2 linked regions of the Astyanax mexicanus genome follow. The protein of the gene in region 2 binds, or shares a complex with, the protein of the main gene of each other region. Links are inferred from orthologs where the notes say so. Each region holds a gene or a part of one and is shown on either strand. Other genes may lie near its edges.

Region 1 (7,907 bases), on a different chromosome or scaffold from region 2:
GACACTCTTCACTGTCCCTACTTGCCAGAGGGCTCTTGGTGCCTTCTGATCAACAATAAGAACTACAGTGCCGACAGTAATGGCATCTTTCTCTGTCTGCCATTTCTGCCGAGCTTGTAAGGTGGGCAGAAAGTGGTGAATGTAGTGCTTCCAGAAGTGATCCGCTAACACCTGTGAATGACGCCACCTTTTCCGACTTAACAGTTCACACTCAGGATAGACCACTTGTGGAAGTGTGGAGTCTGGCCGCCCCATCAACAAGCAGTTGGGCGTGACTGGGTCTGGGATCAGAGGAAACATAGCCCATTGGCCTAGAGTTGATTATGCCTTCTACTTCGATGAGGACAGTCATTAACACCTCCTCTGGCACAATCTGAGCTCCTAGAGTGGTGCGGAGGGCGTTCTTAACAGATCTCACTTCTCGCTCCCATGATCCACCAAAATGTGGAGCATTGGGGGGATTAAAACGAAAGCGAATCTGTTGAGAAGCAAGGTGGTTCGTAACTGCAGGTTCCATGGCATGGAAGGCTTCATGGAGCTCTTTGCTTCCTCCTTTAAAATTAGTGCCTTGATCAGAAAGGATCTAATGGGGCTTTCCTCTGCGAGCTATGAAGCGTCTGAGTGACATCAGAAACGAGTCTGTGTCCATGTTCGGTAGCAGGTCGAGATGGATAGCTCGAGTTGTAAGGCACTTGTACAGGATACCCCACCTTTTTTCAGTGCGTCGTCCCACCTTTATGAGCATAGGGCCAAAGCAGTCGACTCCTGTTGAATAGAAGGCGGGTTGGAAAAGTCGCAAACTGGAGGGGGGTAAGTCTGCCATTCGTGGAACTTGGGGGCTGCCTCTCCATTTCCTGCATTCCACACAGTTACGCTGGTGTTTCTTGACTGCCTCTCTGCCTCTCAATAGCCAATACTTCCTGCGCAGCTCTGCAAAAACACGCTCCGCTCCAGGGTGGTGTAGCTGGTGGTCATAATGCTGAATCAGGAGTTTGGAAACCGTGTGAGAGGAGGAAAGGAGAATGGGATGCAGAACATCTGGACTTAGGCTGTCACATCTACGGAGCCTACCACCAACACGAATTAAGCCTAAGTGGATTCACAAATCTGTGAAAGTTTGCTCTTAGGTCATGTGGCAACTTGGCTAAAAGGCGAGAGACATGTGAACCACACCGCAGTTCTGTCCATCCTTGACTTCCAAGTTGTTGCAGCATTCCCACTAAAGCACGAACCTGAAGGGCAAATGACTTGAAAGCTTTAACATCCCCAGCACGGATATTTGGTCCGTCCATCAGATTTGAAATCCTCTTCAGTGCCAACTGCTGTGGTTGACCATACATCTCAGTGAGTGCCCTTATAGTGTCTGTGAATGGGCCTGGACTGTTAGTGTAGGAGTCAGCTATAAGTAGTGCCTCTTCACACTTAAGATGGTCTGTGAGTATTTGAAACTTAAAGTGCTCTAGAGCATCATAAGGGAGTAAATTGTCCAGGGCTAGTTTCAATCTGACAAACTCACGGGGGTCCTCGGACTTAAAATCAGGGATAGTTGGCTTGGGACCACGATAGACATCTAGAGCTGGGTGTTTGTCATAGTGAGAAGCACAACGTGAAGAATAGTACTGCTGGTCAGGTGAGTATCTGTCTCTATATCTCTCTCTGTCATATCCATGATGAGATGCATCACAATCATCAGGGTAACCTCTGTAATCAGGAGAGCATCCCCTCTCAGGCCCATAGTAACGGCTTTCACGGTGAGCTCTTAGGCTACTTGATCGGTAGGGCTTAGAGGGACTACAATCATCACTGTAGTATGGATGACTTGACTTAGGTAGAGGGATACTGTAAGTGCGGTGATATCTGTCGTCATGATGATAGGGCTTGTCGTAGCTGTCGTATTCACCCTCATACTCCGAATGATACTTGGCACCTGGAATGGATGCTGCTTTGGGACGTGGCCGTTGGCTATCACTTGACTTATCACAAGTTCTTCTGTGTGGCTTAAAGTCCTTGTGACGTGATGGTTCCTTCTCTGGACAATCCTCAACGTCTAAATCCAGAAGCTTGGAGCAGGGAGATGAACTTCGAGAGGTCACAGGAGAATTGTCATCTTTAGTGATCAATCCTGCTTTCTGCAAGCTGCACTCGAGGTCCTCAATAGAGTCACAGCAGCAACCTTGTAGAGATGGAGGAACATCACTGTGCACCAGTGGGGCACTTACTAGCTGACGTGGGTCTTTATGACCACTAGATGGCGTCGGCCTACTTGTAGGTGCTGGTATAGTTGATGTATTGTCCTCTCCATGCTTATGCAGCGACCGAGGTTGTGAGGCCTGCCCAGGAGATTGCTGGATCATGTCTGTAAGACGCTGGACATCTCTGCATAGTTGGCAATTTTCTTCTTTCATGCTGCGGAGAAATCTAAACACTTCAGATGAAGATCTTTGCTCATCATCCAGTACATGACACCTTGGGGTGTAGCTGACTTCATAATCCTGTAGATAGGATGGAATGTGTCTCGATCTCTGTGGCCTGTTTCTGTTTCTGACATCTCTCTCTTGTGACCTGGACATATTGACTGTAGTGGTTGCTTGAATCCGGCTCAAAGGACCAAAATTGTAACGTGGACTATATCTGGTTTGTATTAAGAGTTGCAATCACTTCAGGGATCGGGTCAGGATATCAATTATAATGTTCAGGTGAGGTGAGATGAAAGAACATTCAGATCCAGCTCCAGAATACAACTTGACTTTAATAATGCATGAGCATTATCCTGGCTGTACATGTGTGTATGTGTGTGGTTTATCTATAAAAAGAAATATAAGAAAAGCTTGAAATAGTAGAGAATACACTTAATGAAGAGCTTACACAATGCTTAACGTAGCAATTCACAGATATAAAATGTACAACATAAATACATAGAAACTAAACACTAATACTTCCAGTATTTTACTCAACAAAGTATACCTAACTAATAAGAAGGCATTTTAGTAAGAAATATTAGCCACAGACTATATTTTATGTCACGTACAGGCCTACAGGCCTCGATTAGCTAATGCTAATTGACTAGTAGTTCAATCTTCCAAATAACTCAAATAAGCATAATACTTGACAAAGAATCATGGTACTTGACAACCTTAATAATAATATAGCTTTAGATCTTAGATTAAACAAAGAAAACAGGCAAAAACAATCTTACTCACTTTCAATGGACGCACACAGTAAGAGGCACACGGTGAGACTGATTAAATGAAAGGCTGTGTCATACTAATACCTCTCTGAACCACATTGTGTAGGATTGTACACTAGTGCAACAGGGTCCACCTACTGGCGAAAATAAGAACTACATGTAAAACACTAAACACTAAACTACAGACCTACTGAACTAGAGTGATGCAACCTGGTCAAATAACAATCTTTTGTACAATTACCTAAATTGCCAAGACGCTGAAGTTTTTTTATTTACCAGCGTCTTATTGGGATTGTCTTTCCACTTTAAATGCTCACAGCAGTTACACGCGGCCGCCTGTAGATGGCGGGCTGTGCCGCATGTAAACGCTGTGCAAACACTGAATAAAAAGGAAAAACAGAAATATGCTCCAAGTTTAATTTAAACTGGGATAGAATGTTGATAAAATAAGGAAATTAAAGAAAACACTATTTAAACGTTTTGAATAAAAGGAAAAACAGAAAGACTACAATAAAATGTAAGAAATTTGTTCGAATTTATTTTGTGTTTACAGTTAAAACAGATGCCCATGTGATTGCTGTAACATTCTCTGGTCAGGACATAGAAATGTTACAACAGTGATAGAGTGTAGAAAACGAGAATAGAATAAAGATCAGGAGTAAGATGGTAATACTAATGTAAGCATGAACACAGACTGACAGTAAAAGTGGAAAACTGGTAGCTACTGCATCACTGTGGTAGAGTTTATTTTTGACATTCGTGAGAGATTCAGAATTCCGGACTTCCTCCCCCTTAATCAAAATGTAGATTCATCAATATAATTGTGGTTTCTTGCTTTAATGAGGGAACACAACAAACTACAACCACAGTTTTTACTGAAGATTGTTTGCATTACATCATATTTAACCAAAATACAGCCGCAACGAGAGCGCTCTCACCCCGTTCCTCCTTCCAACAGCGTGCTGCTCTCTTGGAGACCGTAGCACAATTACAGACGCAAAAAGCAAAAAACGAACAAATCTATTAAACTGTCCCAAATGTAATTCCATGATGGCAAAACAACAATACTCTCTACAAATATATATTTCTTACATATTACAAGCCGTAAACAAAATAAATAGTCAATTTATTTCTATTTTACACAACTTTATTAGTCAAATAAATTATCAATGAATGTAATAGTCTCAAATCAACTTTTTCTTGTATATATATATATATATATATATATATATATATATATATATATATATATATATATATATATATATATCATCCTTAAATATAACAAAGCTTACTTTTTTAATGAGTCAGTTAATTTATTTTATAATAAATGTTCCTTACATGTTACAAGGCTTACTTTTTTAATTAGTCGGTTTATTTATTTTATAATGAATTAAACGTCAAAAAATGCATTGAACTCAATTATCGTTAGAAGTAATAATTTCAAATCAATTTTGTCATGTAAAGATATATATTCCTTACATGTTACACTGATTATTATTTTAAGTAGTCGGTTCATTTATTTTATATTAAATTAATTATCAAATAAATGCTCAAACCATCGTTAGAAGTATTCAATTCAAACCAACTTTATGTTAAATATTTTCTTCTAACGATGATTGAGTTTAATGCAATTATTTGACTAATAAAGTTGAAATAGAAATAAATTGACTATTTTTTACGGCTTGTAATATGTAAGAAATATATATTTGTAGAGAGTATGTCAAACATAAAACTAACTTTACCACAGTAACTGAGTCTACTATGGAAAACTAGCTGCAAATAAAGCATGCAATTTTTTTTAAACAATCTTTATTTATTTGTGTTTTTTTTAACTTATTGTTAAAAAAATAACACTTGCTACAGAGAAAAATAAAGGAAAATCTATAAATAAATACATAAACACAAAAATATACAAGTAACAAAAAATTTACCTAGATAAATCAATGTGCGCATACACTGCTTAGTGCTTAGTTGAGCTCAAAGCCTCAACATGACTAAAAAAGGACTGCCATATTGATGTAAATCTATCTGTTGACCCCTTAAGTGTGTACCTAATCGTCTCCAAATTGATAAAGTATAGCATATAATTTGCTTTGGTCCAGTTAAATATTCTAAACTGCATAACTTTGTGTCTCATAGACAACAGATTCTATATCTATAATACATAGCAAAATTGACTTATTAACAGGAATACTAAAAACTCAGATGCTTCTACCAACATGGTAGGTTGTTTATAAGTTACTAAAAGTTTGAAAAATATTTATTTTATTTAAAAAAGACCTCAGTATAAATAAGCTGGAGTGTGGGTGCAGAACTGGAAACAGTATTACTTCCTGAGACTGCCATGGCCTTCTGTTCCAGCAGCTCAACAATGCTGGTGTTTGCTGCTAAATTAAATCTACTAAAAGGTGGCAATATTCTATCACTGTATTAGGTTGGCATGCAGTATTGAACTAAAGCGTTAGTTTAGTGTGAAATAAAACATTCAGTTTCCTCTACTTCTGTCAGCCAAGACGTGTTTAGGGTATGTTTTGCATTGAAGCTCAAAGGCTAATTTAACTAACTAAAGTAATAAAAGTTCATTGTAAGGAGTTTTTTGTTGATCAATAATGGCGAAAGTATAGGGGGTTGTGGTCCTTCACAGGTCAAAGATTCAAAGATCAATACCAACCTCTATAAAACAATACTAATACATGCATAATTATCAGCATCAAGTTTGTCAGTGTATGATCACATCACCCTGCTACCTGATCAAATAGTTACCCAGTCTCCAGACTCCAGTTTAAACAATAATCTCCTCTTGTAAAATATTACAACTTAACTCTTTTATGGACACCTTTTATGGAAACTCATGTGTTTTATTGAGTGCCTCTTTCTGCATACCCGTACAAAAGTGCACCTATGCAGCACCTACACAAATGTTACTTCAATGTCTCAGTCTGGCCTTTTCACCTTTAGTTTCAAAGACTCAGAACAGAATTAATTAATCATTGAGGGTAACCCTTATTTTCAATGCAGCCGAGCATTTACAACCTAAAGGGACTGAAAAATAAATTAAAATTAAAACCAAGTATGTAATCAGGGGAAATAAGGGACTTTATAAACAAAACAATAAAAAAAATAAACTGTAAGAGCATTTGAAAAACAAAAAAAAAAAACAATGTAAGCTTGAATTAAGCTTAAATAAAACAATTAATTACGAAGAAAAAATAATTCAAAACAGAAGCATAAATGGAAATGTTAAAATGTAAAGCAATACAATCCAAAATAAATAATCAAAACAATAAAATATAAACACAAATAAAGAAATAGAGGACTAAAAAATGAAGTAGCTAAAAAAAACATCAAGATTATAAAGAAAGTAAGTGATGAAAATAAAACAACAGGTAAAACAGAGGATAGAATAAATGAAATAAAAAGGTAAAAGGCCAAAAGTAAAGCAGGTAATAAAATGAACAAAAGGATGAAATGAATAACATAAATAAAACAAATGAAGAGGCTAAAAGGTAAACAAAAATGATCAATAAAACAAATAGAATAACAAAAACAAACAAAATAAATAAATAATAAAAGAAAAACTTAACTAAAACAGGTACAGCCTGTCTGAAGGTGGTTAGAAACTAAAAGAGTTTAAGAGTTTCCTGTAATGAATTCCAGCTCACACAATGTTCTGTAGCTAAAAGCAGATTTTCCAGTTCAGTAAAAACTTTAGGAACCTGACAGGTGATCCAGTCACTAGAGGTGGTCTGCTAATTACTGTTATAAATAGAAAACATATAAGATATAAGCTATTAAATGGCATATGGCCTGAGAGCCAGTTATAAATGAATATAAGCCAGTTTCCCGTCGAGGAGGACCAGCCTACTTTTGGTAAAGTGGTGAGAGCGGGTCACCAGTAATAAACCTTAGAACAGAATGACAGACTGAATCTTGTGGGGTTTTTTTCTGTCAAACATAGGCAGACAAGATTTATTACGATAAAGAAATCCCAGTCTCTGTCTGCACTTAATAACTAAATTATTAATGTGAGTTTTAAATGAGAGTTTTTCATCCAGCCAGATGCCTAGATACTTACACTGTATCACAAAAGTGAGTACACCCTCTGCAGATATTTAAGTATGTCTCTTTATGGAACCACACTGACAAAATGAAACTTTAACACAATGAAAAGTAGTGTGTGTGCAGCTTATATAACAGTGTAAATGTATTATATCCTCAAAGTAACTCAATATACTGCCATTAATGTCAACAAAGGTGAATAACCCCCTTAATAAAAGTTCCTGAAGTGTCAGTTTTTTGTATGGCCACCATCATATTCCAGAACTGCCTTAACTCTCTTGAAGTTTACCATAGCTTCACAGGTTGCCACTGGAATGCTTTTACACTCCTCCATGACGACATCAGGGAGCTGGCGGTTATTCCAGACTTTGCACACCTCCACCTTCTGCTTGAGGATTCCCCAAAGATGTTCTATTGGTTTTAGGTCTGGAGACACGCTTGGCCGGTCCATCTCCTTTACCCTCAGCCTCTTCAATAAAGCAGTGGTCGGTTTAGAGGTATGTTTGGGGTCATTATCATGTTGGAACCCAGTTTCTGGAAGGAGGTGATCATGCTCTGCTTCAGTATTGCACAGTACATATTGGAGTTCATGTGTCCCTCAATAAAATGTAACTCCACAACACCTGCTGCACTCATTGCAGCCCCAGACCATTACATT
Region 2 (8,249 bases):
ACCTGTTATACTTACCTGTTATAAATTTGCACACTTTTTGTGTTTTTTACCATTTGCTCTCTTCCCTCTGTTTTCCTTTGATCTCCTGGCCCCTTTCCCATTCTTACTTTTCACCCTCTTTTTCTCAGGTACAACGTGGATGGTACCATGGACTACAAAACTGTCCATGCAGATGACTGGACACCTTACCTCTCACCCACTCTTAGGAAGAGGAACAGTGACACCACAGTGCTACCACTGTACACATCCAGCCTGAGAATCAAGGCGCTGAAATACAAGCACCTCCAAGAACTTAAGAATTTCATTCCCAAGGACTTTCATGGATTTTATGATTCACTTAACTATGAGTGATATGCATCACCAGTCTGCAGGTTCACTGTTTAATGTGGAGTTGGCTCACGTGTGTACATAAAAAAAAAAAAGCCACAGACCATTTTCTTGAGTCTGACTGTGAGTCTCAAAACATGATTTATGTGTTTTCCTAATGATTTCCCACAAGTAATTCAGATTTGTATCCAATATCTACATGGAATTTAGTTATTTATCAAAAAGAGATATAACATTTTATTAGTAGTTGATACAGGTTATTCTATTGAAATGTTTGTTGGTTCGTATGTTTTTTCTTGTACATATCTGAAATTTATATGAGGTTTTTATTAAATGATTGACGTTTCCTCGTACAGTAAATAATAACTTGATTTATAAATTACATTGTCTGTAACTTTTAAATTTGTATTAGTTGAAAGGTATCTAAGTGACATAGTAAAACATTTCTTAATAAATCTATAAATATCTGTCATGTTGTGTTCTTGATGCAGAATAGATTAAAATATAACAAATATTTTACAATGCAGTATTTCTGAATTATATTTCTGAATTATTCAGATTTTAGTGTTAAGAATTGTTCAGTAGGAATTTCCTAGCTAGTTATCTGGCTAAACTGATTTGTGAAAGATGTATGCATTGGTTGATTCCAAAAGGTGGGAGCAGAGGACACCAGGAGCATGCATCCTGCCTCTTTAAAAGGCAGTAAGGTATTGTGCAAAACAATATGTAAACAGTCCAGGTCTTGCTAATATAATCAACTGTTTAAATATGCTGTGTTGGGGAAAACCCGTTTTGTAGAAAAATATTTTCGTAGTTTTTTTTAATGTAATGTTTGGTCTCTTTTGGGGTATGAGGATCAGCTGATCGCGCATTTCCGCGCGTCAGATATTAAACCAGCATGGAAACAATAAGTCACACTAAGGATTCAGTGTGATTTTTAGTCAATAACAGTAATACTAGACTCTGCTCCCGTTAAAACATGATTTATACCGGTAGAGTGTAAGGAGAGCGTTCAAACTGCGCAGCTTGGTGGACGTGACTCTTTGGAATTCACTGTAACGCCCGCGTATGGAACACCCGCGTATGTCCTTTTTGCCGTGTACAAAGCACGTAAGTCCATTTAACATATAAAACTATAGAACTTAAGAAATCAAAATAATATATATGAATTTTAGAACTAAATTATATGTAAACAGCGTTATCTGTTGTTTATTTTACCCAATATTATTTAATTAAAAACGTTTTTTGCTTTTCCTGAAAAGTCCGGTTTTTGGAGATACGTGCTTTTCATCGGACAGCGACGATATTAATCTACAACGTAGAAAACCATAAAAAAAAGAAAACACATTGAATGAGAAGAGATGTGTCCAAAATTATGACTGGTACTGGATGTGCATGTGTATATACAGCTCTGGAAAAAAATAAGAGTCCACTTCTGTTTCTGAATCAGTTTCTCTGATTTTGCTTTTTATAGGTATATGTTTTAGTAAAATAAACATTGTTGTTTTATTCTATAAACTACTATTTCCCCCAAATTCCAAATAAAAATGAAAATAGAAATAGAAATGAAATAGAAATGGCTGAAATAACAAAAAAGATGCAGAGCTAAAGTTGTAAGAGTTCAGAAATCAATATTTGGTGGAATAACCCTGGTTTTTAATCACAGTTTTTTTTTTTCATGCATCTTGGCATCATGTTCTCCTCCACCAGTCTCACACACTGCTTTTTGCACAATTCAAGCAGTTCAGTTTGGTTTGATGGCTTGTGATAAATCATCTTCCTCTTGATTATATTCTAGAGGTTTTCAATTTGGTAAAATCAAAGAAACTCATCGTTTTTAGGTGCTCTCTTATTTTTTCCAGAGCTGTATATTTTTATCTCTAGGCAGGGCTGGGCTGCAAGACGTTTCAAAACAAGGGGGTGACGTCACGACGCCGAAGTGACGTTGCTGGCCGATGATGCTAGCAGCAGCATCAGCATCCGCGGTACCCAGCATCCCCCTCCTTCCCTGCAGTCCCTCCAGCCAGCATCCATCCAGCACCAAACACACACACACACACACACACACACACACACACACACACACAAAACCATCACTCACAGCCGAGGCCTTCCAGAAATGCATTCTCAGCTCGGATCTGTTGTTGTAGCTTCGTGAAAATACAATAAAAGTATCCATCAACAGAGGCTTAAGGGGTTTAAGTAATATACGTCGTTAAATATATCATTAATTTAATTATTTTACACATTTAATCCATATTAATAAGCAGAGATCGTATCCACAACACCCTATAAAACCTACGCACTTCATTCAGCCTCATATAACCTATATGAAGGACAAATCACAGCCTGACCAAACCAAACACTTCACCCAGCCCATTAGAAACCCACCCTACAGCATCTCAAAGCGTCAGCAGCCACAGAAAGACCCCCAGTCTCTCTGACATTGCATCATTTCATCGTTATCAGGTAGAAAAATTAGGCTCGAGCACAGGGCTGCTACACCACACCACAGATCCGTTCATTCATTCCTTAGGATCACTGGGTTTTCCTCTTAAACCCACTGAAGACAGTCTCAGATCTCAGCCCCCCAGTATAAACCCCCCAGAGCCCCCTCCCTCTCTCCCTCTCTCCACACTCAGTGCTGTTACCTTTGTGTAGAGCTCGGACGCGGCCATGGTGGTTGTTGCCATTAAAGCGTCAGTGTGTGTGTTTAGCTCAGTCTCGGTAGGTTAAAGGAGCATCCAGGCCTCTGATCGAGCTCCTCTCTCCAGCCTGACGCTTCTCCCCGAGCCTCCAGTCAGTCCAGCGCCGGGCTCGCTGATCTACAGCTCGGGTCGCTCATCGCTCCTCTGCCGCGGCTCTGTGTGAGTGAGTGTGTGTTAAGGCTGGAGAAAATGATTTGTGTGCACCGAGGTGCCCATGAGGAGGAGCAGCAGCAGGAGGAGGAGGAGGGGGGGTAAAATGAGCTGAGGCTGCCCCCTGGTGCTCACCCCATCATCTTGTGTTATTTACAAAATCAGAGCATTTGATATAGTAAAGAAAAAAAATAATTCTAAATGCTGTTGTATTTTCCAGTTTTCTAAAAAAAATAATAATAATAATTTCTGCTCATCACAATCTGAATTTTAGGAACGAAAAATTATAATTTTCCTGTGATATAATCCAACCTGTGCTGGTTACAAGGTTAAAAAATGAAAAAAAAAAAAAAAAAAAAAAAATATATATATATATATATATATATATATATATATATATATATATATATATATATATATATATATATATATATATATATAATAAAATAACATAAATACAACATTTCCTTCCATTTATTAGAAATTTTATTTCATTTGAATTTTAAGAATTTTACACACTCCTACACCCCACCAGCCGTAAGCTATTATTCACTATATTTGCACTAATGTTTATACAGGTTCTGTTTATACTGGTACTGTCATTCCCTCTTAATCACCCTCTATAACTATTGCAATATCGCTTTTGTCTCACGTATGTCTATTTGTGTCCTTGTTGTATTGTAAATATAGTGTCTCCCATATATTTATATTTTATATTTAGAATCTTATTTTCTGTACTTGCTGTATTTTTTTTGAAGGAGAGTAACGTAATTTCAGTTCTTTGTAGGCTATGTTCTGTACATATGCAGTATTGACAATAAAAACTACTTGACTTGATTTGACTTGACTTAAGAAACAACCAACAACAAAAAAAAATGTAAACGTTTGTCTGTTTCTATTTTGTGAACAACTGTAACCTACCAAGGCTCTGTATAACATTTTTGTATAAAAACTAAGCTGTGTCCCAGGTGTGTACTGCATCCTAACACTCTAGAGTATATGCTAACCTAAAAGATTTTCCATGCACTGCAGGCATCAGAAAAATACAAATTGTACAGTTTGGTTGAGGAAAATGTTAACAGCACATTGTGACCTGTGAGCAATAAATCCTGATGTATCAAACATGATAGATAAAAGTCCTACATGCAGAATGTTATTTCATTTCTTTTTATTTTATTATTGTTCAGAAGCTCCAGCTCATCTCAAATCACCATCTCAGTTGTTTAGGTTTAGATCAGGGAATTGTGAAGGACAATTTTTTTTTTTACTACGTATTTCCATATGTCCCTTAATTGTTTATTTTTTGTCTTTAATATGAATCTACAATGTAGAAATCAAATGAAATGTGCTCTGTATGTAGGTGCTCTTTCTGTGCAGGCTGGAGAGAATGATTTGCAATGAGGTGCCCATGAGGAAGATCAGCAGGGGGCTAAAATGAGCTAAACCTGCTCTTAGCTTCATAAAATGTTTATTTTTGTATGTTAGATAGGCACCATATTATAGAGCAAAAACAGGGACAGAGATTTAGTTCATTTGTAAAGAAAGAATGGAAACAGAAAATTCAGGTTTTAAGCTTGAACTTTGAAACATACAACAATATGTTCAAAATAAAATTAAGTGTAGATATAATTTATTTAAATTCAGGAATTGTTTTTTGTTTCTTGTGTATTTTGATATTTGAGATCGGATTTGCATACTGTCTGAGCCCGTGAGCTTTTAGTATGAGATTTAAGTGTCTTTTATTTAGAATAATGCCATGTCTCACTGCATGAGACTCTAAAATATCACCATAATTAATTCCAATTTAAGATTATTCTTGGATTAAAGGAGCTTTGATGTAATATGCAGTCTTCTTCCTCTGCATTAATTTACAGAAAAGCCAGCTTTATTATTCTCTGGCTACGACTTAATTATCTTGTTTCCATGCCTTAGGATCTTATTCTAACGCCTAAATAAGTAATGGCCACACATTATTATTTTTTCACATGATGTCACCTTAGGTTCTTTGTAGAAGTCAGGTAAATTTGTGATCATTTTTTTCCATTGGGTGATTTAATAAATAATCTAGGATCCAGAGCCACTGGAAAATATATATATAAAAAGAGTGCAGCAGCTCAGTCCACAATCTCAAAAGCTTCAAAGCACCACTGTAAATGTACATCAATTAAAACTCTGTGAACACTATTTGATAGATGTCTACTGTCTAAAACTTGTTTAAACTCCCCTAATCCCCCCCCCCCCCCTTCACACTCTTAAAATTCCTTTAAAATTATGTTGTTATGTAGTCCAGTTGTTTTTGTTCCACCTTAAACAGTAGAGCAGTAAAGGTGCCAATGATAGAAAGCGGTAAAATACTCATTTATTTTCCTTCTATTCCACCTCAAGTGCACCAACTGCGTCATAATTAGTGTTTTTTTTCTTGATTATAACACAGTGGATCAACACCAGCAGGTCTCATGACTCCAAACCATCACTGATTGGTGGAAACTTCACACTAGACCTCGAGCAGTTTGGACTGTGTGTCTCTCCACTCTTCCTCCAGACTCTGATCCCCTGATTTACAAATGAAATGTAAAATTTACTGATGATCAGTGATGGTTTGGAGAAACATGTCATCTGCTGGTGTTGATCCACTGTGTTTTATTATCAAGTCTAAAGTCAGTGCAGTTATGCTTTCGCACAATATCTTACAGCACTTCGTGCTTCCCTCTGCTACTGACAACTTTTATGGAGATGGCGGATTTCATTTTCCAGCAGGACTTGGCACACTGCCAAAAGTACCAATTGGTTTTTTGAGACACTGACTTTTGGGTTTTCATTAGCTGTAAGCCATAATCAACAAAAAAATAAACACTTAAAATAGATTACAGTTAAATAAACTGAATTACTGAAACAAAATAATTATATATGAAAAAGGACAAAGTGAGAATGCACAGGTTTGCAAAACTATTTTATTTACAAATCAAATGGCACAAAAGTGACTGCGGTCGATGCCCATGTGCACCCTGGCCCAGGTGGTTTAGTGTGTAGTGCTTCATGAAATTGACAAAGAGGACCTCGGTGAGAAATGTATTTTTTCTACAACTGGTCTGGCCCCAGTTGTGGCCTTGTTCCAAATTAGGTCGGGTCATGCTGTGAAGCTCGTTTTCATGAGTGTTAGGGGTGGGCGTTATGATGGTGCATCGTTACTCTCGCAATTAGTTACGTCACAGTACACTTTACTGAGTGTAGTATTAGAAGAACTGCATGGAGTCGAATAGAATTCAGACCAACTATACAGAGCCTGTAAACAAAATCCGGTCTATAGTAACTGCATAGTGATAGGAAGTTCAATGGTCAGCTCATTATGCCATTACTGTATTCATTCATGTTGACCAATTATTTCTTTCTTTGCCTATTGTTTTCACTTATATTGTATATTTCTGTAAACACGTGCTAGAAATCATGATTTATCTCCTTTTTAAAAACTGCTGTGCTGCTGGTATGTTTGGTCTGTCCCTTGTTCACAAGCCTCTGTAAAACTGTAAAATTATGATATTTCACTGTTTCCATACCGCCCATCCTTACCACTTAATTTTGGTTTGGCCTTCAGGTTAGCGATGACAACTCTACACCAGAATTGTGATTGGTTTAGGCCATTTTTAACAGAAATGGTGGTGACAAAGGTGGCGAGTCCACAGCAGCCTTACATAAACAGTGCCAGATGACTTTCAAATGGACGTTCAACAGCAGTATGGTCCATTTTGGGTCCTTAAAGCTGAAATGTTCACAAACAGAAAAACGAAAACTCATGATGCAGATTCAGAACAGCTTATGAGAGGTTGTATTCAATTAATCAATCAATCATTCAAGCACATTGCTCCAGTCATTTGTAAGCTTTGGGAATGGTGCAATAAAAACAAAACTTCACTAAAATGCTGTTTTTTTTTCTCCTCTCAACACAAGCAAATATGTACACTTTCATCTACATCACCTACTGCACATATAAATCTTTATAAAGACATTTGTATCCCCCCTACCACCCCCACACACAAGCCATTGACTGCAATACCACGGCGCCCTGTCCGGTACGACTACCTGCATACGTCTATCTTCAGTGTATTTTGTAGATGGAGGTAAAAGTGAATATGAATCTGTATTAACAGAAAATGAAGTGAGAGGGTGAGGGACTCTCAAAACTGATGTGATAATAAATACACTATTTGTATCATCACTGGATTAACATACTTTAAAACAGACGAGATCAAGCTAATATATGTACATTTGTATTACAAATGTGAACACACTGCCTGCGTTGAATATAATAAAACACACAGATGGTGTTAAAAGCATCATCCTATCCTGTGTTTGGGCTGGTACAGTAACAGCCCAATGAGATCTAGTACAAGTGTGTTCAGACTCCAAAGGCTACAGATGCAGCAAAGACAGAAACGCCAGTGTATTCATTTTACACATCTGTTTTGAGAGAGTGTGGAGTGTTAAACATGGCAGACAATGAGTAAAATAAAGAAAGAGAGAGAGCAGCATGTTGCATTGCGGAGAGCCAGACGCTGGTGGACAGGGCAGGTCAGCCAGCCAGTTTGCTGGCCACCAGAGAGGGTTTCCTCTGGGGCAGGTCCTGAGGCGTTGGGATGTGGTCCCCCGTTATTTCCGCCTTCTCTGTCTGCGCCGCCGGCAGCTGCTTGTTCTTGATCTTGGCCTTCGCCATGTTGTAGTCGCCAGAGTCGAAGTACTTTTGCTGCTAAAAGAGTAAAAAAAAATAAAAAAAAGCCTGTCATTAAATCTGTTTTACACAGTGACGAAACTATGGAAAAAGGTCCTTTACCAACTCATAATTATGAGATAGCAAGTCATAATTATAAGAGACTAAGTCATGTTATAAAATGCTAAGTCTGGGGGTATTATCTCATAATTCTAACTTAACATCTAAAAATTATGACTTAGTATCTCATAATGACTTACTGTCTCATAATTATGACTTAGCATCCCATAATCATGAATTGGCATCTCGTAATTATGACTTGGCATCTCGTAATTATGACTGAAATAAAACATTTTAAAAAC

What was found. The genes of interacting proteins can lie anywhere in the genome.
Region 1: the proteins of myo5aa (region 2) and spire2 are in contact, whole or in part, in a crystal structure (PDB 5JCY), measured with the Homo sapiens proteins. The link is inferred for Astyanax mexicanus from reciprocal best matches to the Homo sapiens genes MYO5A and SPIRE2. Residues at the interface, in NP_001369276.1 of Homo sapiens: Asp1551, Val1554, Arg1555, Thr1559, Ile1562, Asn1563, Lys1566, Ser1597, Gly1598, Leu1615, Thr1616, Asn1617, Phe1618, Asp1619, Leu1620, Ala1621, Glu1622, Tyr1623, Val1626, Asp1629, Leu1630, Gln1633; in NP_115827.1 of Homo sapiens: Arg404, Pro405, Arg406, Val407, Leu408, Leu409, Lys410, Ala411, Pro412, Thr413, Leu414, Met417, Glu418, Met420.

The regions. Positions count from the first base shown.
Region 1 is NC_064417.1:11,048,304-11,056,210, reverse strand, and holds the start of spire2 (protein spire homolog 2), read right to left. Parts: upstream 3,409-7,907; 5' UTR 3,201-3,408; intron 1-3,200. UniProt on the Homo sapiens protein: Acts as an actin nucleation factor, remains associated with the slow-growing pointed end of the new filament.
Region 2 is NC_064416.1:41,740,541-41,748,789, reverse strand, and holds the start of myo5aa (unconventional myosin-Va), read right to left. Parts: upstream 3,246-8,249; 5' UTR 3,021-3,245; coding exon 2,979-3,020; intron 795-2,978; exon of another isoform or gene 352-794; coding exon of another isoform or gene 129-351; intron 1-128. Other genes in the region: uncharacterized protein LOC111196951, read left to right, coding at 129-351; arpp19a (cAMP-regulated phosphoprotein 19a), read right to left, coding at 7,753-7,926. UniProt on the Homo sapiens protein: Processive actin-based motor that can move in large steps approximating the 36-nm pseudo-repeat of the actin filament. Can hydrolyze ATP in the presence of actin, which is essential for its function as a motor protein. Involved in melanosome transport.